7 linked regions of the Nothobranchius furzeri genome follow. The protein of the gene in region 3 binds, or shares a complex with, the protein of the main gene of each other region. Links are inferred from orthologs where the notes say so. Each region holds a gene or a part of one and is shown on either strand. Other genes may lie near its edges.

What was found.
Region 1: prpf31 (region 3) and lsm6 share a complex: the UniProt entries of both Homo sapiens proteins name them as parts of the U4/U6-U5 tri-snRNP complex. The link is inferred for Nothobranchius furzeri from reciprocal best matches to the Homo sapiens genes PRPF31 and LSM6.
Region 2: prpf31 (region 3) and prpf8 share a complex: the UniProt entries of both Homo sapiens proteins name them as parts of the U4/U6-U5 tri-snRNP complex. The link is inferred for Nothobranchius furzeri from reciprocal best matches to the Homo sapiens genes PRPF31 and PRPF8.
Region 4: prpf31 (region 3) and usp39 share a complex: the UniProt entries of both Homo sapiens proteins name them as parts of the U4/U6-U5 tri-snRNP complex. The link is inferred for Nothobranchius furzeri from reciprocal best matches to the Homo sapiens genes PRPF31 and USP39.
Region 5: prpf31 (region 3) and lsm7 share a complex: the UniProt entries of both Homo sapiens proteins name them as parts of the U4/U6-U5 tri-snRNP complex. The link is inferred for Nothobranchius furzeri from reciprocal best matches to the Homo sapiens genes PRPF31 and LSM7.
Region 6: prpf31 (region 3) and lsm5 share a complex: the UniProt entries of both Homo sapiens proteins name them as parts of the U4/U6-U5 tri-snRNP complex. The link is inferred for Nothobranchius furzeri from reciprocal best matches to the Homo sapiens genes PRPF31 and LSM5.
Region 7: prpf31 (region 3) and snrpd3l share a complex: the UniProt entries of both Homo sapiens proteins name them as parts of the U4/U6-U5 tri-snRNP complex. The link is inferred for Nothobranchius furzeri from reciprocal best matches to the Homo sapiens genes PRPF31 and SNRPD3.

The regions. Positions count from the first base shown.
Region 1 is NC_091744.1:10,586,904-10,590,962, reverse strand, and holds the start of lsm6 (U6 snRNA-associated Sm-like protein LSm6), read left to right. Parts: upstream 1-1,259; 5' UTR 1,260-1,348; exon of another isoform or gene 1,349-1,389; intron 1,390-1,409; exon of another isoform or gene 1,410-1,514; intron 1,515-1,759; 5' UTR 1,760-1,771; coding exon 1,772-1,865; intron 1,866-2,678; coding exon 2,679-2,792; intron 2,793-3,156; exon of another isoform or gene 3,157-3,271; intron 3,272-4,059. UniProt on the Homo sapiens protein: Plays a role in pre-mRNA splicing as component of the U4/U6-U5 tri-snRNP complex that is involved in spliceosome assembly, and as component of the precatalytic spliceosome (spliceosome B complex).
Region 2 is NC_091753.1:37,695,469-37,698,037, reverse strand, and holds the end of prpf8 (pre-mRNA-processing-splicing factor 8), read left to right. Parts: coding exon 1-73; intron 74-153; coding exon 154-393; intron 394-467; coding exon 468-609; intron 610-689; coding exon 690-830; intron 831-922; coding exon 923-1,062; intron 1,063-1,212; coding exon 1,213-1,415; intron 1,416-1,502; coding exon 1,503-1,657; 3' UTR 1,658-2,069; downstream 2,070-2,569. Other genes in the region: rilp (RILP-like protein 1), read left to right, coding at 2,460-2,569. UniProt on the Homo sapiens protein: Plays a role in pre-mRNA splicing as core component of precatalytic, catalytic and postcatalytic spliceosomal complexes, both of the predominant U2-type spliceosome and the minor U12-type spliceosome.
Region 3 is NC_091745.1:76,605,409-76,607,881, forward strand, and holds part of prpf31 (U4/U6 small nuclear ribonucleoprotein Prp31), read right to left. Parts: intron 2,009-2,473; coding exon 1,839-2,008; intron 1,764-1,838; coding exon 1,606-1,763; intron 1,528-1,605; coding exon 1,438-1,527; intron 1,301-1,437; coding exon 1,173-1,300; intron 1,044-1,172; coding exon 971-1,043; intron 1-970. UniProt on the Homo sapiens protein: Involved in pre-mRNA splicing as component of the spliceosome. Required for the assembly of the U4/U5/U6 tri-snRNP complex, one of the building blocks of the spliceosome.
Region 4 is NC_091757.1:46,437,229-46,441,419, forward strand, and holds the start of usp39 (ubiquitin carboxyl-terminal hydrolase 39), read right to left. Parts: upstream 2,801-4,191; 5' UTR 2,672-2,800; coding exon 2,611-2,671; intron 2,338-2,610; coding exon 2,259-2,337; intron 2,166-2,258; coding exon 2,071-2,165; intron 1,912-2,070; coding exon 1,775-1,911; intron 1-1,774. Other genes in the region: c17h2orf68 (UPF0561 protein C2orf68 homolog), read left to right, coding at 3,108-3,217, 3,610-3,725, 3,966-4,111.
Region 5 is NC_091748.1:58,320,411-58,324,308, forward strand, and holds lsm7 (U6 snRNA-associated Sm-like protein LSm7), read right to left. Parts: upstream 2,759-3,898; 5' UTR 2,655-2,758; coding exon 2,649-2,654; intron 2,409-2,648; coding exon 2,318-2,408; intron 2,219-2,317; coding exon 2,147-2,218; intron 918-2,146; coding exon 775-917; 3' UTR 501-774; downstream 1-500. UniProt on the Homo sapiens protein: Plays a role in pre-mRNA splicing as component of the U4/U6-U5 tri-snRNP complex that is involved in spliceosome assembly, and as component of the precatalytic spliceosome (spliceosome B complex).
Region 6 is NC_091747.1:62,679,641-62,683,199, reverse strand, and holds lsm5 (U6 snRNA-associated Sm-like protein LSm5), read right to left. Parts: upstream 2,285-3,559; 5' UTR 2,207-2,284; coding exon 2,161-2,206; intron 1,110-2,160; coding exon 1,014-1,109; intron 927-1,013; coding exon 899-926; intron 828-898; coding exon 755-827; intron 678-754; coding exon 645-677; 3' UTR 501-644; downstream 1-500. Other genes in the region: late secretory pathway protein AVL9 homolog, read left to right, coding at 2,849-2,935. UniProt on the Homo sapiens protein: Plays a role in pre-mRNA splicing as component of the U4/U6-U5 tri-snRNP complex that is involved in spliceosome assembly, and as component of the precatalytic spliceosome (spliceosome B complex).
Region 7 is NC_091746.1:48,714,996-48,718,978, forward strand, and holds snrpd3l (small nuclear ribonucleoprotein D3 polypeptide, like), read left to right. Parts: upstream 1-1,183; 5' UTR 1,184-1,315; intron 1,316-2,105; 5' UTR 2,106-2,120; coding exon 2,121-2,246; intron 2,247-3,033; coding exon 3,034-3,226; intron 3,227-3,609; coding exon 3,610-3,674; 3' UTR 3,675-3,805; downstream 3,806-3,983. UniProt on the Homo sapiens protein: Plays a role in pre-mRNA splicing as a core component of the spliceosomal U1, U2, U4 and U5 small nuclear ribonucleoproteins (snRNPs), the building blocks of the spliceosome.

The sequences.
Region 1 (4,059 bases), on a different chromosome or scaffold from region 3:
GTTTATATATATATATATATATATATATATATGTGTGTGTGTGTGTGTCTATAATATTTTTTACAAACCCGAAGTTGGTTACTCGTTAGAATAATTAAAAGAATTATTTGTTTTCATACACTTTATTCATAGACTTCTTCACAACTACAAAAAAGTTTTCCATTGGTTCAATAGTTTTTGTGATGTTAACAAATGTTTGTTATAATAAGAAAATATTTCACCAGGCACATGTTTATGTTTATGTTTATGTATTTAGCAGACGCTTTTGTCCAAAGCGACTTACAAGTGATGTGTTTATAAGAATGAAAAGATGTCTTTTTTAAGTGCACATCATAGACTGTACATACTGTGCACATTTTCCCATTTCCCCAAGATTCACTGATTTCCCTCTTTCCTGTTCACTCTCTCTCTCTCTCTCTCTCTCTCTCTCTCTCTCTCTCTCTCTCTCTCTCTCTCTCTCTCTCTCTCTCTCTCTCTCTCTCTCTGTCTCCCCCTCTCCCTCCCTCTCTCTCTCTCTCTCTCTCTCTCTGTCTCCCCCTCTCCCTCTCCCTCTCTCTCTCTCTGTCTCCCTCTCTCTCTCTCTCTCTCTCTCTCTTTCTTTCTCTCTCTCTCTTTGCCTTTTTAATCACAATTGTCTATTTTTGCTTATTTTGAACATATTTTAAATCATTTTTTGAAACCTTTTTTATATTTTATATTTTTGTGAAGTGCCTTGAGATTTTTGTCTTGAGAGGAGCTACAGAAAAGATTGTTTTCTTTCTTTCTTTCTTTCTTTCTTTCTTTCTTTCTTTCTTTCTTTCTTTCTTTCTTTCTTTCTTTCTTTTAAACGTTTGAACACTTACAGATCAAGAAGAAAGAAAATGTACCTGAAATTGGAATAGGCTTATTTGTGCATATCCCACATTACATTGAGATAAATTTTGAATTTGTAAAAAGAATAGTAAAATAATACAATGAGACATTCACATGAAATATTATGTTTTTACATATTTACAGTAGTTTCTCATTTTCTGTATGAATTTGTTACATAATAGAAATATTACTAATGCTTCAGTTTATTCAAAGTATAACAATGCACAACAAAACAAAAAAACTTTAGTATATTATAATATGAAAGCCAGTGGATATAATATTAATTACAACATATTAGAAATACATTTATAGAAAATAACTTGTTAAAGGAAATGGGTATATCGTATTTTTAAAATGTACTTTTAAATATTCTTGTTTTGTCTATCGAATTAAAACTTTGCGCTTTCAGGACATTTGTCCCTACATAGTTTCCGTAGTCCTCCAATGTGATTGGTCAATGCGCCGAACATAAAATCGTTGTGAGATCGTTCATCCAGTGAGTAACTTGCTAGCTCGGTGTTCGCATCTGTAAAACTAGTAAAACATCTATTTCCTATCTTATTAGGATCTGTTATGATGTAACAATACCTGTACATTGTACTTTATTGTTAAACAATCTCCTACGCTATTAGAGGCTAACGAACTGACCCACGGAATAGCTGGTAGTTAGCACTTAGCTCGCTAGCTACATAGAAGCTCATTTGATAATTTGAACGTTTTAACCGTACATAGTTTTGCATTTAGGCGTGTACTATCTGGCTACAGCTATTCGTTTTAATATTCTCGGGTTTGAATAATGCCTTTGTTACTAGATAATCAATTATAGCTTAAATGTGTATTAGGGTAATGCTAATGCGGTTCTTTATTGTGATAAAATGAGATTTACTCATCTGTTTTATTCTTTTAGATAAAAGCGAAAATGAGTTTGAGAAAGCAGACCCCGAGTGACTTTCTGAAGCAGATAATTGGGAGACCTGTCGTGGTCAAACTGAACTCTGGTGTTGATTACAGAGGTAATGCAGCTGGCATCAGGTGTGGGAATGTTTAGGGTTCTCAGAGTTTGATTAGGTTATGAATCAGAGGGTTTGTTAAGCAGTCATTGATGCATCTTTTTACGCCTTCTGCCTCATGTTTAGTTCTAGACAATGACCCCCTGACAACTACTTTTAATTTTTAATGATCTTTTAATTCATTACAGTTAAGTTCTTTATACAGGCAGACAGGAAGTTGAATGATGTAATCCCATATAGGATTAGAAACTATGAAACAAACACTAACTGAAAAACAGTTAAATTACTGCAGTTAAACTCCAGTTAAATGCTGAGTAATTGGAATAAACTTGAAAAGTTTCGTGAGGACCAAATTTTGCTTTAATCTTCAACAAACTATTTGTGTTTGTGTTGATATTAATTCATTTACCAAGCTAAAGAGAGATTCACACAGGTTACACAGATACATGGAGGAGGAACACTTTTTGACACAACACTCCTACTCAGACATCTTTGTTACAGTTTAAAATGTTCAGTTTTTCAGTATTTGATGTATTTATTTCTTCAGTCAAGACTCAAACTCCATCCCAGTTGCACACCATAATGTGCCACACTTCTGCACTTCAGATGTCTGCCTTTTACACTCACCTAAATAATGATCATTATTAAAATCTGTTTTGATAATTTTTGAATGAATTTGTAATGGTTTATGTTTGCATCAAAATGCATAAAAAACAGTATGCCCCTCTTCCCTAGCTGGCACGTTCAGGTCTGTTGTTGTTTTATTGCCCAGGTAAGTTTATTTTTAATCTGAAGTTTGTGTTTGTCTCTGAGCAGGTGTTTTGGCCTGTCTGGATGGTTACATGAACATCGCAATAGAGCAGACGGAGGAGTATGTCAATGGACAACTCAAAAACAAGTATGGAGATGCCTTTTTGAGAGGAAATAATGGTAAGATTTGATGTTTTCACGCTGCAGGGCGTTATACAACACCGTTTTCCTCTGTTACTATAGCTCCAAGTCATATTTAATGATTAAACATTCCAGGTTATGAAGGCTGTACATTTGCCATGATCTGAGTCTTTGGTGCAGTCAACTTCCTAGCCTCATTCTTATTAGCTCACAGAGACAACATTATTACACTGTGTGCTCTAATAGATCTTTCAGTTGTTTAGGTTTTTTTTTTCAATCCAAAGTGATTAGAGATTTAAATTTGTTGACAATTTTTAAATGAAACTTTCAAAGTCATGCACCACAAGATGTTTATTTTCATTTTCTCATTAAGCATTTTTGCACCTCAAACCTATCTTTATAGGAAAACCACAAGATATTCCCTTTTAAAGTTGGGAAACTAACCATGTCGGAGTTATACAGGAAGCTCACTTCCGATGAAAACATCGAGCCCCTTTGTTGCTGCTTTGAAAAAACTGGTAAAATGCTACTATTTTACAGCATCGTTTGTTAATTAATTCATTATGTTACATTAGAAATGTACTGATTTAGCTTCTGATGGCAGAAACTGATTTGTGTTGCCTCAAAGTGATACTAATTTTGGGTGATTTTTAAATATAATATGCTGTTTGAATTTAAATATTAAATAGAATATTTTGGAAGTGTAAACTTCTACATTAATAGGGTTAATAAGTAGGGTTAGGGAATATTTTGATACCTGTGTGATTTTTGTGGTGCCTCTCTAGACTGAGCAGATACAGCTGCGACTGACTACTAGGGATGCACCGATGGATCGGCATTTGATCCCAACTGGCCGATAGCGCCCCTATCGGTTTTGATCGGAGTTTTCAAAATGGATCAAAGCAGACCGATCAGGTAGGGTTGTCACGGTAACCGGTGTAGCAGTAAACCCCGGTAAAATAAAAAAAAGTTGACAATAATAATAACCGTCCGTTTTTAAAAAAACTATATTATCTCGGTGGTTTACCGTGGCTGCGGTGTAGGCGCGGTGACCCTTACCAGCCACCGTATCATCTGTTGAAGTTGCCAGCGGCACATGCGCACTTTGTTGTTTACAACCAAAACTTTCTTGAAGCTAAAGCTGAAATAATGGCCAAAGGAGGAAACGGCAGCGCGCAGGACATTTATTATACCTCAAAGAAAACAAAGTGGGAAGTACGGGCATTTTTTGAATATTTGAAGAATGCCGAGGGACAGTTTATAGAAGACGGCTATCCTGTTTGCAGCACGTGCAGAAAAAGTGTCT
Region 2 (2,569 bases), on a different chromosome or scaffold from region 3:
CTGATGAAGAGTGGATCAAGGTGGAAGTGCAACTCAAAGATCTCATTCTGGCCGATTATGGCAAAAAGAACAAGTAAGAGCTATTTTGAGTGTCTTGTGTGTTTAGAGCCAGCCTTGCGTTTTGTAGTAAAAGCTTCTTTTATCCGTGTCTAGCGTGAACGTGGCCTCTCTGACCCAGTCGGAGATCCGTGACATCATCCTGGGTATGGAGATCTCTGCGCCGTCGCAGCAGCGTCAGCAAATCGCAGAGATAGAAAAACAGACCAAAGAGCAGTCACAGCTCACCGCCACGCAGACCCGCACCGTCAACAAGCACGGAGACGAGATCATCACCTCCACCACCTCCAACTACGAGACTCAGACCTTCTCCTCCAAGACTGAGTGGAGAGTCAGGTACGTTAACTCTGTTTTTACTTCAACTTTAAATGATGGAGTGTTTTAATTCTGCTCCTCTTGACCTAACAAAGGGCCATATCTGCTGCCAACCTCCATCTCCGAACCAACCACATCTATGTGTCATCTGATGACATCAAGGAGACCGGTTACACCTACATTCTGCCCAAAAACGTTCTCAAGAAGTTCATCTGCATCTCAGATCTTCGGGCACAAGTATGCATCCATTAAGTTGCATTTTTTACCGTGCTGCTCATGTCTTGCCGCGGTTGTTGCCAACGATGTGCTGTTTCCAGATTGCAGGTTACCTGTATGGCACCAGCCCCCCGGATAACCCCCAGGTGAAGGAGATCCGTTGTATCGTCATGGTACCTCAGTGGGGGACTCATCAGACCGTTCACCTGCCCAACCAGCTACCTGGTCATGAATATCTCAAAGTAAGACTCAGATAAACAATTTTCAACAGATTTCTAACGCTTTTATAAATTTTTTTTTTTTGTTGGAGTTTTGAAAATGTTTTTCTGTTCAGGAAATGGAGCCCCTTGGCTGGATCCACACGCAGCCTAACGAGTCCCCACAGCTGTCTCCTCAGGACGTCACCACCCACGCTAAGATCATGGCTGATAACCCCTCATGGGATGGAGAAAAGACCATCATAATCACTTGCAGGTAGGTTTGATTTTAAGGTGTCTGTTCTCATTTAAAGCAGGATTACTGTGTAATCTGGAGCCTTTTTGAACCTAAACACTTACTAGACTCTTCCTGGAACATAATTATTGCTGAAACTTTAGTTTAAAGCATTTTTTCTGGTGTTTTCAGCTTCACGCCTGGCTCATGCACACTCACGGCCTACAAGCTGACCCCCAGTGGATATGAGTGGGGTCGCCAGAACACCGACAAGGGCAACAACCCTAAAGGTTACCTACCATCTCATTATGAGAGGGTGCAGATGCTGCTCTCTGACCGCTTCTTGGGCTTCTTCATGGTTCCTGGACAAGTCTCATGGAACTACAACTTCATGGGTCAGTAGCGTCAGCCTTTTGTATTGGAAAATGAAGAGTTGGCTTGTTTAGTAATCAGGTGATTTAAAATGATGATTTTGCCACCAGGTGTGCGCCACGATCCCAACATGAAGTACGACCTGCAGTTGGCCAACCCCAAAGAGTTCTACCATGAAGTCCATCGGCCCTCACACTTCCTAAACTTTGCCTCGCTGCAGGAGGGTGAAATTTACAACGCCGACCGAGAAGACATGTACGCCTAAGAGCCAGCTTCCTTCTGTAGATAGCTCTGAGAGTCACTGAGAACCACTTCAGAGATGTTCTGTAATATTTCTTTGATGTTTGAGGGTTTTATGTGAAGGCTTTTGGAGCTTTTAAGACTTTTTTTGTTCCTTTTCCCGTCTTTACAGTAAGACTCCTAGTACAAAGTGAGTTTTATTGTGGATCCTTGTAATTCCTTTCATATTTACATTGGCGTGTAGTTTTCAGTAAGCAATACTTTGATGTAATGTTTGACATTATTTCAGAAAGTTAAAGATCTACTTCCTTATTTAGCAGTGAGAAATGAAATTGAAAGTTGCTTTTTCATACCTATATTATTCAGTCATGTGTTGAGCTGTACATCCTGTGATGTTGTATCCTGGACTTAAATAAAAATCACCATTTTTATATCCAGTCTTCTGATTTGTTGTGTGCTTTTATTCCTGAAATGTAAATGTGGTTAAAGCAAAAGAGAAGGGCAGCGTTTTGTTGCATTGTAGGTGTGAGTAGGGGATATTACTTCCTCTTTCAGAGAGTGCAAAAGTCGGTCACCATAATTCAGTCAGGGATAATTCAGTCAGGGTTTAGAGATTGTTACAGCGTTGAAGGTTTTAGCTGCAGATCTTTCAAGTTGTTGCACGTTTGTGCTCTGGTTGGCCAGAAGAGGAGGAGGATCCTTTAGCTGCTGATGTGAACGGTAAGTCAGAGCAGGTTGATTAGTGTTGGTGCGTGGAAATGTGCATTTACTCAAGCTAGTTCAAAAGTTATTTTTTAGTTTCATCCGTTTCATCGTAATTGTGCGACATGGAGACGGACACGGAGAGTTGCAGCTCCCACGGCTGCTTTGGCCGGACGTTTTCCGCCCTGACCGTCGATGATGTTTACGAGATAGCCAAACTGGTCGGTGCCGAGGT
Region 3 (2,473 bases):
ACACCCCCCTCCCCCTTGCTGTTTGTGTGTGTGTGAACCTATGGTGTGAACCAGTTGTTAATAGCTGGCCTACGACTTTCTGCCTCTCTGTCCTGTTTGCTCCGGTTGAAAGACCCCCAAAACCACACCCCTTCACGTGGTCTCACACACACACGCACACACGCACACACACACACACACACACACACACACACCTAAGATTTTTCAATGTTTGTCTTATCATGTACTGTGATATAATGTATGAAATATGTCTTATTTTATTTTTGCTAAGCCTGCCCCCGTCCCACTGAGCTCCATGCAATATGAACTGAGGGCCGCTTAGGGGTGTGTGTGTGTGTGTGTGTGTGTGTGTGTGTGTGGTTTTTATGCAGTGTCTGTTTACGAACACATTTGACTATCGTGGAATTGTATTTTGAAATGCTTTATTTTGTTAAATTTACCGGCCTGCCTCTAATGTCTAGGTTTGACTTCCTGCCAGAATTGACGCGGTCCACTTGCGGCTCGCGAAAAAAATAGAGCAGACGCCGAAACGATCGCTGCAGGGCGCGCTTCGGCGGCCCATGTGGTCTATAGAATAGGATAACAAGGGCGCCGAATGAAGGCGGTCCCCTTTTCGCGGCGCTTCGGCGGCCGGTGTGTCCCTGGCGTTAGGCAGAAAATTTAAATTTTAACTCAAATGCACTAAAGTGCAAAACTATTGACGACACGGGTCTGCAGCACGATTAGACACGCATTTATATATCAGGAAAAATAAGTTGATTTGGGGGTGACTTGCTTTTTAAAGGCAAAGGTTTTATTTTACCATCATCTGTTCAGGTTTGGAGAAAAACCTCACACCCACAGTCAAAATGATTTAAAAGACTTAAATTTACCTCCAAGGAATAATTAGCCTTTAAATTTTGATCCTAATCCTGCATGAAAATGACGTCACATCCAATATTATACATTCTAGCTGAGAAAATATCCAAACCTCTGCAAAGGTCATTCTGTTGGCATGTTTCCTGATTTCTGTCAGCCCCAGGCGCTCTTTCATCTTTCGATACCTACAGTGAAAGACAAGAGGAGTGTCTGGGAACGCTGCACACACACTTATGGTCTTAAACCTGTCCGCGTGAGTTATGCAAGCTTTTAAAAACAGCACGAATGTCTGAGCGGGTTCACTGAATCCATACCTTCTTCCTCCTCTCTTCTTCCTCTGCCCATCCAGCGGTGCCGGCAGCGGTTTGACCTGCTTCACAGGTGGAGGCTCCTGCCACTTATCAAACTTTCTCTCTATCTCTTCTTTTAGATCATAGCCAACCTGAAGAAGGGACATGTTTATTCTCAATTTGTTGCATAACCAAAGACAGATTTCACTTTTGTTGGCAAAACAGATGAGATACTTGAGTCAGTTTAATGATAAATAATTTTATATTCAAGCGTGTGAGAAACAGGCACCTTTCCATCTGAACTCTCGTGAAAGCTGTCCACTCGAGATGCCAGGGTGCATTTTGCAGCCACTAGCCGAGCAGCCTTCCTTCTCAGGTCCTGAAGGGGAAAAATGATCTCCGTGAGCCAAAAGGTTTCACTTCTGAGACGTTTTAAACTAAAATAGCATTTACTGACAGGCGGCAGCGACTGCACGACATCACAGTGGTAGATAAAACCGGTGTGAGGGAGCAGGGACGTGCTGCTGAAGCCGGACAGGGTTCTCCTCTGAGCTCCCAGCAGCATCAGGTTACAAGCTGGCATCTTTGAAAGGTTGGTGAGACCACCAGCGATACCTGCAGCAAGAATACCAAAAAGGAAATAAAGATCTGAAACACCTACAACAGGTGCAAGCGTGAACCGCCTCTCACCCATAATCTTCGCAGCGGTCGATGCTCCGACAATGATGGACAGGTTCGGGGCTATAAAAGACATTCTTGACTCGACGTACTCGTAAATCCTGTGCTTAGACTGATTCAGCTCCAGTGCCATGTCACAAGCCTCCTCCAGCTGCTTCAGCTCGTCCTCGCTCAGCAAACACCTGAAAAAAAAAAAAAAAGTTTTTTTAAAGGGACTTTACGGAGTTTTGAAATTTTATGCTCGCGGTTGCCCCCTCAGGCCAAAAGCGTAATGGCAGCTTCAATAGTAGGCTCGTGCACGAGGCGTGCATGCTGTACGTGCACACTCCTAAATGAAAATAACAGCTGAGACAGTCCCTTGTGTGCGTGTGTGTGTGTGTGTGTGTGTGTGTGTGTGTGTGTGTGTGTGTGGCCCGGAGGACAGAGGACAGGAGAACACGCAGCTAATTAATTAAATAATTTGGTTCTGTACCTTTCTCTTCAGCACAGCCGACAAAGGTTTATGATGGGTCAGTCCTCCTGCATGCTCAGATCATTCCCTTCCCTTGCTTGAAAATTTGTTCCAAAATGAAAGTTGAACCCACATCTTTTTATCTGTGAATTCAATGCCGTTCGGCGAGTCTCAAATAAAAATTTGGGCGTCTTAC
Region 4 (4,191 bases), on a different chromosome or scaffold from region 3:
TGTATGAATTTATGTGACAAATAAAATTTGAATTTGATTTGAGTTAAAAGGTTAGTCTCCAACTGAATTTTGAGCACATTAGTTAAAATGATCTCCAACACTCATCTGAGTCAGATGAAAATTTGAAACATCTTCAGACATCTCCAGGTAGTTACTTTCCATTAGAATCTTATAGGGGGGGTGCAATTAATCGATGTGGCGATGCATCTAACAGCTAAACATGTTGTTTCGACATCGATTAATGAACGTCAATGCTTAAAAAAACATAACATCAAAGTTTTATTGCAACGCCGGTACTAAAAAAAAATAAAAACACGTAACCGGAGCCTTAACGCACGCGCCGCCCGGACTGTTTAGTGAGTGGCACTACCTCTTTGACCTCTTTCTCCATCCTGGAGACTGTCTCCAAACTACCGAAGAGCTCAGAGAAGGCGAGGAGCATTACAAAAGCAATAGCTACTTTTATCGCGACGGATCTACGCCCATATTCAGTAGTAAACAACAGGGGGTTTCAGTTAGTGGTGCGCACCATGGAGCCGCGCTAGAAACTTCCTCACCGAAAACACTTCGCAGAAAAGGAAGTCCCCCACCTCTACGAGGAAACCAAAGCTGGAGTCCATGAAGAAGGCAACCGGGATAGCGCTCACATGCGATGCATGGACATCGGTTGCCACCAAATCCTTCGTTACTGTAACGGCGCATTTTGTTCTCGCGCCGGACAAGAACGGGTGGAAGTTGGTGAGCCACGTTCTTCAAACTCGAGAGATGAGTGAGGGTCAAAGTAGCACAATGTTGACATTTACCCATCTCACACAACTGGAGGATGTAGGGGACAAGAAGGAGGGGAGGGAGTATGGGAAGACAGCTAAGATTAAGATGAGTATGAGTGTCACTCTGCTCTATTTTGTTGTGTTCGCCTCACAGTACTGAAGCTCCAAGCTGAATACAGGTTCAGTTGAATTATGCACTTTTGTTCAGAAAAAATGCAACATATTACCTTCAAATATAGCAGGTTTTTTTCTGTTACCTATATTCCAGACTGAATAAGCTGAATTATTTTATTTTGAGGAATGCACTTTTGATCTGTATGGCAGCTTTTTTTGTAATGTTATCATATGCCAGACTCATTAAGTTTCCATTAAATAAATTCAGTGGAAGTAAAAATCTTGTTTACTTGAATTAATTACCTCATTAAATCCAGGGCTTGCCTGTTTTCAGTGTTTCCCAACAATGGAGGAGACACTAGTGTAAGTAAAGCTTTCCCTGACCAAAGTTAAGTTTGTCAAAGTGCAAATATTTACACGTCATACAGTCATAAAATAAGAATTTGTCTTTGAAAAATAGTTAAATGTTAAAAAAATGTATTTACTTACAGAGAGCAGTTGTAGAGGAACTGAATTAATTGATAGGTTATTTATTTACAAATGTAGATAAAATAGAAGACAATCTTGTATGAAAAAACATTAAAAATGTCAATAATCGAAGAATCGTGGCTCCAGTAATCGAATCGAACCAAAAATCATTATAATCGAAGAATCGAAGCATCGAAGCTCCAATAATCGAAATTGAATCGAATCGTGAAGTACCCTTTTTGGAACATCCCAAGAGTCTTAGCACTGAAATGTCCTGGATGACTGAGAATCTACATCTACATGCTTAAAACTTTTAAAACTTTTCTCCAGTTTGCAGTCTCTGTTAAACAGGAAATGTTTAGGCTTTGTAACCATAGACACTTGTGGCATAATAAGATCAACAAAACAATACTATGACTCACCGTGATGTCTTCTAATGACGAGTCAATGATCTCATAGTTATCTGGCAGACAGTAAAACTTGAGTGTGTGCAGGTTGAGGAACACATGATGGCTAAACTGGACACTGTGAGTGTATGCATGAGACTTCTGACCTCTGCCTGCAAGAAAAAAACAACACCAGTGTGTCAAAGTACTAGCCTAGTGAACTAGACCAAATTCTTGCTTTGCAAAGTTTTATTTAGTGTGGCTTGCCAGGCTATCAAAGTGCACGAGCATGTTTAATCATGTAGGATTGAAGGTTGGATAGCTTTACCTACCTTGAAAATATTTCCCACAGATGAGGCAAGCATAAACATTAATGTGGGAGAGCGAGATGGAGCAGAGCTTTTCAAAATCAAAATCAAGCACACTCCTGGGAAATTAGCATAGACAGGTTAATGGTTGTCAAATGTGCTAATTAGCAAGCAATGCTAATATCAGTTGCTGATATGTTTCTCTTTCTTGCCTGTTTATGGTGTCAAGGTAAGGGCAGTGGCGACTTCTTCTGTCTTCTACTGCATGTCCTCGGCCCCTTTTGATTACAACTGCAAAAATATGATAATTGTAACTAACAAGACAAACTAAAATGCTACATAACAATGTACAAGCTAATAGGCTAAACATGCTAACACGATAGCTGTGCTGTTACAGAATGTTTTTTAATTAAGCAAAGTGTTATTCTATGCATTAGTTACTGAGGATGTCTAATGACCATTCAGGAAGTGACTGTACAAAGTTGTGCATAAAATCAAATTCTTTTAGTTAGCTTCTTAGCATCCGGCTAACGTTACACTGACGTTAGAGATAAACATACTTACCTCCGTCTTCGTTATCATCGTCGTCCAGCTCAATTTCCCTCTCTCGTTTTAGGGAAATCATATCTGTTATCCTGCGAGCCTGGTATCAAAACAACATAGGAATAAACTAACTTATTTAGAAGATTTTTTAGATGAATGGTGACTGACCACGTCGAAACTCGCGGTGGTTGTACGCTGAACAAAAAAAACAAAACCTATTCCGGTGTTAAGAAAAATATTCTACCAGAAATTTAACTTTGTTTTTTTTTAGCGCAGGAAACTGTTAATTTACAACATGTGTTTGTTTTATTTGTACACAAATACTTGAATTGTTATTGTACTTTTTAATTTAAGATGTTAAATGTGATCGTTCCTGCAGCGTTAACTCCGGAAGTGATTTATTGGACAACTATTTACAGCTAGCTAGGTGCTATTTAGCTTTTGTCTGAGGTCTGATTAGGACCTCTTATAATGATTTAACCAATTGGTAATTTATTGCTTTACAACCATTTAATGACATGGATATTTTAAGAGATGATGGAGGGCATGAGCTAAAATACAAACCAGGTGGGCGTTTGGATATGAGCCATGGCTTCTTGCACCATATCCGCAGGAACCAGATTGCTAGGTAGGTAATTTCCTCAATTTCTCTCTGTTAATGCTAGTTGAAAATGAGACACTAGGTTAATATCAGCCTAAAACCTCAAAGGCGATATTCTTTTAATCAAACGTTACGTTGATTTGGGGATGCTGAAAAGGTCGTAGCTGATGACATAAACGCGTTTAGCCGCTAAAAACAATTTATAAGTTTGCAGGCCTAGCCAAATTATTGCAGGTTTTAGCAGAATATGCATGAAACTTATTGTTTTAAATAACTATTTACTTTGTTTTGAATTGCAAAATACATACAGCATTACACTTTTAAGTTTATGATCAAATGACTGGAAGTATGGAAACAACTAAACCTAAAGTCGTGTAACTGAAATTTGTATGATCAAACTGTCACTTGTCTTTTTTCAGAGATGATTATGACAAGGAAGTGAAGCAAGCCAAAAAGCTAAAGAAGCAAAGACACACTGCAACCCCAAAAAGACCTCGTCGACCTGACATCCAAGTCTACAATCCTCGACAAAGACGTAAGATTTGTGTAATTCTCCCCAGGATCATTCTGTTGAACTATGTTTTCAAATGCTGATCCCTAATATCCACCGCCCCAAGTGTTTTCCAATGCTTCACACTTCAAGATGCCTGATGTAAATGGGTACCGAGCTCTAGCTGAGTTTGATCAACTGATGGGATCAGGGATCAGATCACAAGAACCAAGACTGGGAATTCCTGCCCCGAAGGCATGATAGTGCATGTATGTTCTTTTCCAGGTGGATCTGAGCCAGGTACCGGTGCTGATGCTGAAGAAGGAAATGAAACTGGGTCAAGCTCAGAGACTGAAACCCTTGGGACTGAACTCTTCTGGCTTGACTATCAGGAGGATTCTGGCACTGTTACATCCTTTCTTGTGCACAAGGTCAGAGCACATTAATTTATATGGATGTTAAGCCTTTTTAATTCTTTGTTTTGGTTTGAATGACCCCTGTTCTTTTCTTC
Region 5 (3,898 bases), on a different chromosome or scaffold from region 3:
CACTATTCTAACCTACTTTTAGGAGGTTTCACATCCAGTTAAGTAAAAATTTTGCCATTTTAAAAAACAGCTTCAGTTATCTCACTTAAAACTCATCAGCATTTTGTTTCTGCGTTTCTCCAACGCCAAAATCTACTGAAGATCCTTTCTTTCAAAAGGAACAATCCATAGATATCATTACTTTACACCCCCACCCCAGCTTAATGCATTACTGACTTAAAAGCTGTTAATGCCACATATGTGTCTTTGTGAGTGTGCAGACAAGCTTGAACGGTTTATCTTCAAACACAGAAACTCCCTTTAAACCTAAACACACTCATCTTTTTTTTTACTGCAGAGTTCAGTAGTCTGTAGACCCATCGAGTCAGTCACAACCAGCAGGTAGGGGACGTCTGTCGGGTCAACAAAACCACTCAGATCCTTGTCACCCTTTCGAATAGACCATATCTGGTGTAACTTTCCAACACGTCCTCTGTGTTCAAAGGAGAAAAACATTCAGATTCAGCTTTTTTTCCACTTTATTTTCTTATCAAAAACAAAGAATAGTAAAAAGTTCACTCAGATAACAAGAAATTTGTTTTAACACTTTCAGAACTGGGAGCTCCTCACAACACAAAAATGAGCAAAATTAGCAGGGAAATAAAACTGAAGTGCAACGGAGCCTTATTTTACCAGTGATGAACTTAAAACATGTTTGTCGTCTGAATGACAAGTGTCCTGTAATGTTAAAAAAGAAAAGTCTAATCAAAAGTGTGCCACGCAGCAGCATGGGGGTTATCCATCTTGCTGCTGGATGAATGGGTTAGGAATGGCCTCCATGCCATCCTGAGGACAGATCAGCACCACAGAGGTTCCTCTGCAGACCACCAGCCCCAGCTGTCGGGTGTCTTCTGTCAGCTTCAGCTGGTCGTCTGGATCTGCACACAAAGCCACAGAACGTTCACACTGGAAATGTCAAGCAGCTGGGTGTCCACCAAGCATTTTACCGGAATGCACTCAAAACTAAAACATGAATGGTGAGACCTTTGATTTTTTTGTTTTGACCATCTTCAGTTCAGATGTATTTTTCAAAGATGTTAAGTCCACACAAGACGACCACTTGTAACAGCGATAAAAAACCAACAACATTTGATTTGTTATCACTGTTAAAAATCTGCTTCGACCACTAAAGAACAAACCTCAAACTGAAAAAAGCCACTCATCTTTTGTTTGGGGATTTTTAAATCAATTTAATTTCCCCCCACATGTTTCTGGTTTTTGTTCCACCCGAGTGGCCTCCATGACTCCTCTGAATATTAGCTCAACCCTCCCCTCCAAACACTAAACTGAGAATTAGAAACTTGAGCATTTTTCCAGTGTTTGTTCAAACTAGCATCACATTTTCAACAAATCCACAGTGATGGTAGAGGAGATAGGTGGAGTAACCTTACAGGGTAAGAGCACAAAAAACACAACCAGCTACTTACCTTTACCTGGAAACAACACACTGTTCCAGTAGAGAGGTGTCTACACAATGTTTTCTGTTTGTTTGTACAAAAAGAAAACAATTCCACAGATGCTTTTACACACAGACTTTCTTAATTTTATGAAACTGAAAAATTAATCTTACATACAAGGGCGTGATTTGAAAATTTGGAAACCTTTTTTCAATTTGAAGCCCAGAAAATCTCTCGGATTATTTGATGTTTTAGAATGAATTATTTAGAGCCTGTGAATTTTCTTCTTTTAAACATAGCAGCAACATGTTTTTGTCTACATGTAATTATATGTAATGTTCGTCCACTGAAGATAATCTAAAATTATGTTGCTTTTATTGTCAAACAAGATTAGCACGCACGCACGCACACACACACGTATTCCTGATAATTTACTGAAAAACAAATTAACTCAAAAAAGTGAAGTAGAAAAATGTCTCTTAAACATGCTCTGAACATGAACATAATGTTTTGATCAACATGCTTATTTTCACTAACTGTAGATCGTTTTAAAGATGACGGTAGGGGCGAAATTAATGCGAATTATTACTTTATAGTTATGTGTGTTGGGGAACTTCGGAATGTGTTCAGGAAAAGTCCTTCATCGATATAAACATGGACTCAGACTGAGGAGCAGTTTTCTGGCTGGATTTGAGTTTTGGTTTTCTTACCACGCATGTATTCGATCGTGCCGTCCAGCACCAGGTTCAACAGAGGATCAAATCCTTTCAAAACGCCGCTTGCTGAGAAGAAAACACAAATTTTAGGCTTCCACATAAGGAAATCTAGACATTTACTGCTTGCACGAAATGAAAGGGTTAGCAACAGCTTGGTCCACCCACCCTCTCGTCCACCTTGAAACTTCACCCGAATCGTCTTGTCGATATACTTGGACAAGTCGAAGATGCTCTCCTTCTTTTTCTTTTCTTTATCCTGCAGAAAGGCCAGGTTACATTGTCTTAAGTCACTAATTAATCACAAACAAAACGTAGCCTTAGCTTAGCTCACTACTAGCCACGTTATTTAAGTAAAACGTCTACCGTCACAGCAAAATAAAAGTTGTTCAAGTCGACTTTTGTTCAGAAAACAAAGCTAAATCTTAACAATACAAATGTGGATGTGAAAAGATAAAAAGTAACACAATATAATGAAAGCCATGGATTACGAACTCACCGCCATATTTACTGTCTGACCCGGAAGTAAATCTTAGACCCTAGGAAATGATAGTGATCCAATGAGATAACGCGTTCAGAGGGTTCAGAGAGGTCCAGCTGTAGACCATAAAAAGTAAAATGAAACAATATTGATTTTTGTAAAAGTCTCGGGACTACCATCTCTACTAAAACGTAATGAGTTAAATACACACTCATGTGATTGTCTTAATACGCTGTCAGGCTGGGAAAAACGTTCATCTTTCTCAGCTGCATTGTGCGTTAGCTAATAGCTACAGGCTACAATCTCAGAAGAAATCTACGCCCTCCAGTGGGGATAAACTGCAACTACAATCAGGTTCTAAGAAGCTAGAAGGGAACGTTCTAGTCTCATGGCAATGAAACTGGGGGGGGGGGGGGGGGGGGATCATAATCTGTATTTTTGTTTCTTTTGGTTGATGGAGATGGAGAAGAGAAAACTGCCTGTAAATTCTTTCTAAATAAAACGCTATAACACTTTTGTTATCAGCGAGTGGGAAACTCGCTCTAACAGCCTTTTTCGTTTATTATTTAGCTAAATTCACAATCAAAACAGTATGTAACAGTGTTAAAAACTATGCTAATACTGAGTTCACAACTAAAGACAGTTGGGGTTGCCGATCAGCTTGTATGTTTTTGGTCTGCTGGAGGAGCATGTACCCAGAGCAAACCCACACATGCATGGAGAGAATGAAAGGCCGTAGCCAAGGTTTAAACCTATGACATTGTTCCTGTGAGTCACCAGTGCTTCCAACTGCCCCACAATGAAACCCTTTTTAAAATAAAATGTATACAGATGAAACTCAAAAAATTTGAACATGGTTCAAAAGTTTATTGATTTCAGTATAAAAACCTAAAAGGTGAAACAAATTCATGAGATAAACTCATTCTATGCAAAACCAGATATTTCCATCATTTATTTGTTATAAGTGTGATGATTATGGCTTACAGCTTACGAAAACATCTAAAACTAAATATCTCAGACAAACAGAACGTGCGAGAAGGTTCAATACTCTAGACTCAAAGTGTCGCACTCTAACCAGCTAATTAATCAAAAACATCTGCAAAGGGTTCCCGAGCCTTTAGATGGTCTCTCAGTCTAAGATGGATTATTGAAATAAGTGAACTTTTGCACCATATTCTAATTTTTTGAGTTTCAGTATTGTTATTGGGAAAAAAATCAATAACCAATAAAGGCTCTCAGCATGGAGCTTGCTCCAGTCATTGACATGA
Region 6 (3,559 bases), on a different chromosome or scaffold from region 3:
TTTGTCGCTTCTATTTTTCTTCCGTATTTCCTCTTGTTCCGCCATCTCTCACAGCAAGATGAGCGTCAGTAACGTGATACGTCATGAAAACCGAGGGCACCCATTGGCTCATTTCTTCTTCTACGGCTCCACTGGTAGATCAGTGGCTCATTACTGCCACACACTGGCGGCAAATTTAACAGCTTGTAACCGATGTCTGATTGTGGTAAAAAATAGACTTTATGCGGTAAAATATGATTATTAAACAACTAATCGATGACTAAAAAAGTTGTTAACTATTTTAATAATCGATTATAATCGATTAAGTCGATTAGTTGTTTCAGCTCTAGATCGGTTCCACGTTTTTTGTTCATGAGTCAAAAGTGAAACTTCTCATTTAGCTTTACAGTCCAACAAAGACTGGATGCTGGATTTTATCACTGGTTTCTGATGGTAACACTTCATTTTGTCCCAATGTTTGCACTAAATTTACTTTTTATGATAAATAAATGAAACAAGGATGTTTTTCAAACAGATTTATTTGCAACAAAGACATCTTAATTCCCACGTGAGACCTGCTTCTTTTACTAAAAACTGAACAAAGAATGTTACAAAAATATGCTCCAAAAACCTGGAGAGAATAAACAAAAGACACAAAACAGGATTTACACTTCTGGTCCTTCTCCTCCAGGAATGAGCTGCAGGAGAAATGAACCCGACATGAATCATCCAGCTGAGTGATGTTTGAGAGAGACCGAAGCCGTTTGTGTCCTACCATGGTGATGTTGTTTCCATTGAGGAGGATCTGATCCAGTTTGGTTATTCTCCGTCCTTCTGGTGTGATCTCGCTGGAAGAAACACCAGGAGATGAGCAGGATGAATGAGGCAGACACCGGTTAATAAAACAACGTACACTTACAATTCTGTCACATCCTCCAGCACCATGTCTGAAACACACAGTTGAGGACCAAATCTGAACATGTCACCTCTGAATCACGCACTACAGCTGATCAGCAGCTTTTAAGGAAGGATACTGACAAAGTCATCGAACCCCAGCAGGGTGCCGACGATTTCTTTGTCGGTTTTCATGACGATGTGAATTCGAGAGCCGATACATTTGTCCACAAGCTCTGAAAATATAACAGGTTAGGTTATTTTCTACAGTTTTCAGTTTGATTTTAACAATTTTCTAAATAACTAATGTGATGTTTAGCATCTAAAACCAATCAGGACCAACTACTAAAAATCATTTTTTCTTAAGGGAAATACTGTTGAGGTTTGTACTGCACATACACTAATTGGCCAGTAGGTGGCAGAAGAATATGACTAAATCTAACTGAATATATGTCGATGGACGAAATGAATTTTCTTGTCAGTTGTCAACGAAAGTTGTTCACGGGTGTGACTACTTTGAATTTAAATAACACAATAAGTTCAGGAGTATTATTATGACTGCTGCAGCTCAGCTTTTGCTCATGTTCAGACACGGACAGGTGTACAATCAGCACGCCATCCTCATTAAGGCACCCGAGCTGGTTTGACTTTTTCAGGTCATAACTGCTGTAAAATAGGACACAATCACTTCTTTTAGTTTTTAGACTGCCACAAATACTCCTCTGTTAAAATAAATTAGGTAAAAACTCACGCTTGAACACGAAATTATTGCTTTATCTGCAGCTAGCTAAAACCTGCTGGTGTTGCATCGAGATGTGTCCCCCATCTAAACCAGAATCTCCGGGGGTTTTCTTTAAAACTTTTTCTTTAAGCTATAATATGTTTTAAATGGTAAAATGTTCCTTATTTGACTTTTATTAGTAAATTAATGCAAGCAATAAAGATGGCTGAACTAAGCATAACCCCCACGAGTTCCTAAATTTATCAAATACATGCAACTGCTTACTTCACAAATTACACATACTGACAATTAAATCCGTACACCACAGATAATATATTTTAGCAGGAGGAACACAATCCTGTGACTAGAAATCTTGTCAGGAAGCGGGGACACGGTTTACTTCGGTGAAAAGATCTGTACGTAACACCGGCGTGATTTTACCGCTAAAACGGCTCACTTCTGTTTGCTACTCACTAAATTAGAACTGCTTGTTCGGTTCTTATTGAAATGTATCTAAAGGCGAAACTATCTGAAGCAAGAACGGAACAAAATTAGATTTTACGAACCCAGAGGGAGCAATTGTGACGGGTTTGTCGCTTGAGTAGCCGCCATGACTTTCTTCGTGTGACTGCAGCAGTCACAACCAATCGAATCAAGAGCAAATCGAATTCAGGCAAGAATAGACAAACTCTGATTTACTTTGGAATGCTATAGATAAAAAAATATACTTAAATTCCCCCACAAAAAATAATAAATAAAACATCCAAAACAACAATCACTTTAGAGGCAAAAATATTTGAGTATAAGACTTAAGTATGGATTTTGCAGCATGGAGAGTTTATTTGTTTACTTCCTGTTTCTGGTTAAGTTATGCTTGACTGATTTTAGGATTTGATCAAAATCAGATATTCGCAAGAAAATATGTCAGTAGATTCATTGGAAACAGGTTGTTATAAATTGTGTAAATGCGACTTGAACCAGTTTTTCATTTAAAAGCTAATGCTAACAGCTAATCCGTGCTCTGACCCCGATGGATCTGACAGAATCGGTAACGCAAACACGGAAGTGAGGAACAGGGAAACATCTTGTTGAAATCTAGCTGCAGCGCTGTGTGTGTGTGTGTGCGCGCGCGCGTGAGTGTGTGTGCGTGGGAAAGATTCGGGGCTCAAACTAGGCTCCGTTCGCTGTGTTTACATCCGAACCCCCTGAGTTCACAAACGCCACCGGACCTCCAGAACAGAAGACTGAGGGAAAATGGAGTCTCACGGCAGCGAAACTGAAGGGAAGGGGCCGGTGCTACACATCGTGGTTGTTGGATTTCACCATAAAAAAGGCTGTCAGGTACGAACCTGCTTCATGCTAACTGTGGCTAGCTCTGGTATAAAGGTGCATTCCTACTAAAACATTAGAATGGAGGGTTATGGTCCAGCTCACTGCAGGTGAGATGGATTTGATGCAGATGGAAATATTAATTTTAACCGTCTTTGATTTCTAGCTGTTTGTGCGGAGTTATATAACATCTCTTCTGGCTGCCACCTCAGATAATTTTCCAGTTGTTTCCAGCAGCTGCTCACCTGATCCCACATCCGGTTGGATCTCCATACTAATTGATTATCTAATGTTCAGTAACGGTGATGGGCAGAATAGGAAGAAACAACAATAATCAAAGATGCTACAAGCTTTAAAAACTGCATCAGAAATATCTCAGTTCCTCTCAAAAATGTGAAATTCGTTATTTTCCTTTCAGTAACTTGCATTTTGGTATTTTCTAACTGACTCTGAAGCAAAACTTCCTTTTATTTGGTGGCATGATTAAACCCAAGTCCTAAAGTAGTGCATATTTTCAGAACAAATATTTTATTCATACAAACATAAAAAAGAGGCTTTCTTGTGACATCACAGCAGCCACACCTCCCTTTAGCTCAGCCTGCAGGCAAACCACTTTTCTCCCACAAAACCAGATCT
Region 7 (3,983 bases), on a different chromosome or scaffold from region 3:
CACGTAAAGTGCCCAACCACAAACTACTCACTGAAAGGTGTTTACAGATCAGCCATGGCTGCTGACGCCAGTCAATGAGCCAAATGCAATGGAAATCAAATGAAGATTCATTTGATGATGTCTTTTATTATCCCATTATGCCTTCTCTTTCCCCATTAAAAAGCTCTTTCAATGTGGGACAGACCTGCATTAGGCCACTTTTATGTGTCCCGTAGCAATCCCCGAGACACATCTCCTGGAACAAACATACACGGGTATGTATATTATGTGTACTTTATGTTTATTCTAGTTCTTTGCATATCATTTGTGCAGTACACTGTGGCCATACTCAGTGTTGTAAAAATAGATAAAATTAGTTCATTTTAATGTTTTGTTTTTATGTCTAATGCTGTTTTGATTTGCATGAGATACAGATCATAAAAATACTGTTGTGGGTGATTCAATGATGGATCAATGTTCCATGGGAATTTAAAAAGTACCTAACACTGAGCTGCTTTATGAAAAGCCATGTAAAGCTGTAAATGTCAACTTGGAGCCAAGATGACAAGTAATGCAAAACTGTTCTATTTTTCTGAAAGAAAATGCAAATCAATCCTGCTACTGGATCAACATTTGCTTTTTAAAACAATACAGTTCAGTGTCTGGTGTAGCTGCATAAATTGCCCATCGTCATTAGACGATGCAGAAAATGTAGTCAACAGCTGATTTCCTTCAAAATCATGGAAATCAAGTTTATTCATTAAACTTTAGTCAGATGTACGTAAACACATATTCAGTCCTCTTAGAAATGCAATGTTCTACTTGTGGAGAATGAAAATCAATTTTCATTTCCATCATAACTCAACATTTATAGAAGAAAGAATGAAACAATCTTTTATATAGCGCCCCCAAGATAAAAATCGCGAGGTGCTTCTCAAGCATAAAAAATTAAAAACAAATACAAGTAAAAAACAGATTATAAATTAAGGAAACGTGATTAAAATGTAAATAGTTTCTTATAATTTTAGTTTTTATTTTATTTAATTTTATGTGTTTCAGTCTTTATAAAAAAAATAATTCTACATAAGAAGCTGAGTTTGTCAGTTTCACTAAATAATAGTCCCATAGACTGTACATACTCAATAGTCCTCAACCATGGGCGTTATTGAACTACGTGTCCCACAATGCATCGCGGTAGGTGCCACCGGAAACACTCGTTGTGACCCTTCGTTGCAGGCGGAAAAAAAGGCTCAAAAGGATCCCGAAAGCGTCAAACGCACGTTGCAGTTCAAGAAGAAATAACAATAAAGCAAATAACTCTTACGAACAAGTCAAGGTAAGTTACAGGAGTAACATTAATTAGTTTGAGGAAACGGAGTTCTCATTCTTCTATTGGTTTTCGTTATTTAGAAATTTCGATTTATTTCGTTCATGTGTAGCATGGCTAAGGTTACGCGCATTTTCAAAACTCCGTATGTTACTGTAAAATATTTAGGTATTTAACTATGCTTATTAATCGTAGTAAACTGTAAATAGCATTTACGGCCAATCATATTTACTGTTTGGAATTGTTTAATGGTAGTTTCTAGATAAATTTGTCCTGTAGCCTTGCTAGCTAGTATGGCTAACTGAGCTAGCGGTTAGAATGCTATCAAACATTCTCCACCAGACTCTTAAAAAAAGAGAATACCCAAGCGAAATCGTTTATTCTCTAGTAATGTTATAAAGTGTATTACTGCGTAAATTCATGCTAAATAATAAAAACACCTTCATTTTAGTTAAGTCTAAATACTATGTCCCACATGAAAGTTTCAATTAATGTAGCGTTCGGGTTCACAACACTTCTTTTGTTATGGCTTTTTGCACAAAACCTGTTTTCCCAGGGCGTCTTTCCTTATTTGTCTTAATTTCAGTGACTAGTATTAATCCACAGTCATGAAAAAGTTCACTCGCCTTATTCTGTTGCTTCTCCTACTAGTTGTAATGCAGATTGTAGATTTCAGTGCTGGAAACTGGGCAACCCGGCTAACCAATAAAGTTAAATGGATTTGGGTTGCCAATATTTAAGAGCAGACATTTCTGTGGGTGAGCACGTATAATCTTTTGCTTTGTGTGTTGTGTTCCAGGAAAAGCTTTGAAACATGTCCATCGGTGTACCAATCAAGGTCCTGCATGAGGCAGAGGGTCACATTGTGACCTGTGAGACCAACACTGGAGAGGTGTACAGGGGCAAGCTGATAGAAGCAGAGGACAATATGAACTGCCAGGTTGGTTTGTTTAGCAGTATGGTTTAAAAGGGTTCCAGTGATTTTTAATTGTCAAGAAAAGTGTCAATGAAAAGCCTTCAAAATACTGTTGATCATAAACATCCAGTCAGTGCTTGTTTCAATCCCATCTGCTGCCTGAATAAATTTTGTTTTTATTTCTCTTGCAAATTGCCTTTCTTGCAGCTTTTTAATGGGTTAAATTAAAAAAAATATTTAATTTTTATTTTGTGCACTCACAATAACTTGGGTCAGTAAATTTGGCATTTAAGGTGTTCTGTTAATGTGGATTTTTTGTGGGGTATGTAGTCATAAAAGCTTTTGTTTGTGTAATTACTGGTAAACTAATTTGTGTTTGGGATTAGTGTTCCCCTAAATTGCAAAACGTTTGGCCAAACAATGGTGTACATGGATGCTTGGTGTGAAGAGTTTTATTTTTTTGTAAAAGTGTTTCATTAAAGCATTCTTATCAGAAAGGCTTTTATGTTGGGTTTTCATTTTAAGTTGGTCTTTAGCTTTCATGATTTACCCAGTTCAGTCAGTTATTTAACTCTGTTGTTGCATCATAATTTAATAAACAGTCTAAAGTAACATCACTCTTCAATTGGATTCTATTTCAGCACACATTTTTATAAGGGTTGAATAAACTGAAATGTTAATTTACATTTGAGCCATGCTAGTTTGGTAACCTGTGTGCACCAAGATCCAGATAAGTAACAGAACTGGATTAATGGATGCTCACACGGTCATTTCACCTGTTGTGGACCTAAACTTGAATTTGTCCCTACAGATGTCCAACATCACCGTGACCTACCGCGATGGCCGGGTTGCACAGTTGGAACAGGTCTACATTCGCGGCAGCAAGATCCGCTTTTTGATCCTACCGGACATGTTAAAGAATGCTCCGATGTTAAAGAGTATGAAGAACAAGAACCAAGGCTCTGGGGCAGGAAGAGGAAAGGCAGCTATTCTTAAAGCACAAGGTGAGTGAGAAGCATTTGGACAATTTCTCCAGATGCTGAGACAGCGCTAGAGTTTAGTTCCCTCTTTAGCTGCTTGGCTCTTAAATAGTTGTTAATTACTTTTTTTTACAGGTAACAACAGTGTTCTATGTGGACACTTCTCACATTTTCTGAGGTGGAATGGTTTGAAAGACAGATCCCAATTCTTTTTTATCTAATATAAAGGGAAAAAAAGGCTTTTTCAAAGGAATGTTTAATGGTATTGTCTAATTTCTTCTCTTGTAGAAGTCCAACATAGTCAAAATATTTGAGTAGGGAAAATAGGGATTTGTGGGGGGGCATTTCTTCCAGACCAAAGAGATACCTTTTTTTGGAGTTTGACTTTTTATTTTTACTTTTAACAGTGGCTGCAAGAGGACGAGGTCGTGGTGGAATGGGGAGAGGCAACATTTTCCAGAAGAGACGATAACTTATTTTGTTTTAAATTTCATTGTTTGATGTCATCTTTTGGATTTACTATGCTTTGGTTTACTTTGCAGTCTTTTGCTCTACAATTTATCACTGTTTTTATTTTGTATGAAATAAACAGATTTCAGCTCAGTGTTGCTCTTCTTGACTGAACCTTTGCTGTGCTTTGCCCCATTGAAGCCCTTTTTTTGTAGTATTATTCAATTTTGAGTCCCACCTCTTTCATTTATATTGTGTATTGTAACCTTTTAGCAAGTAAAATTTGTACATTTACCCACGGAAAAGCATTTTACTGCATATTTATCCTAGT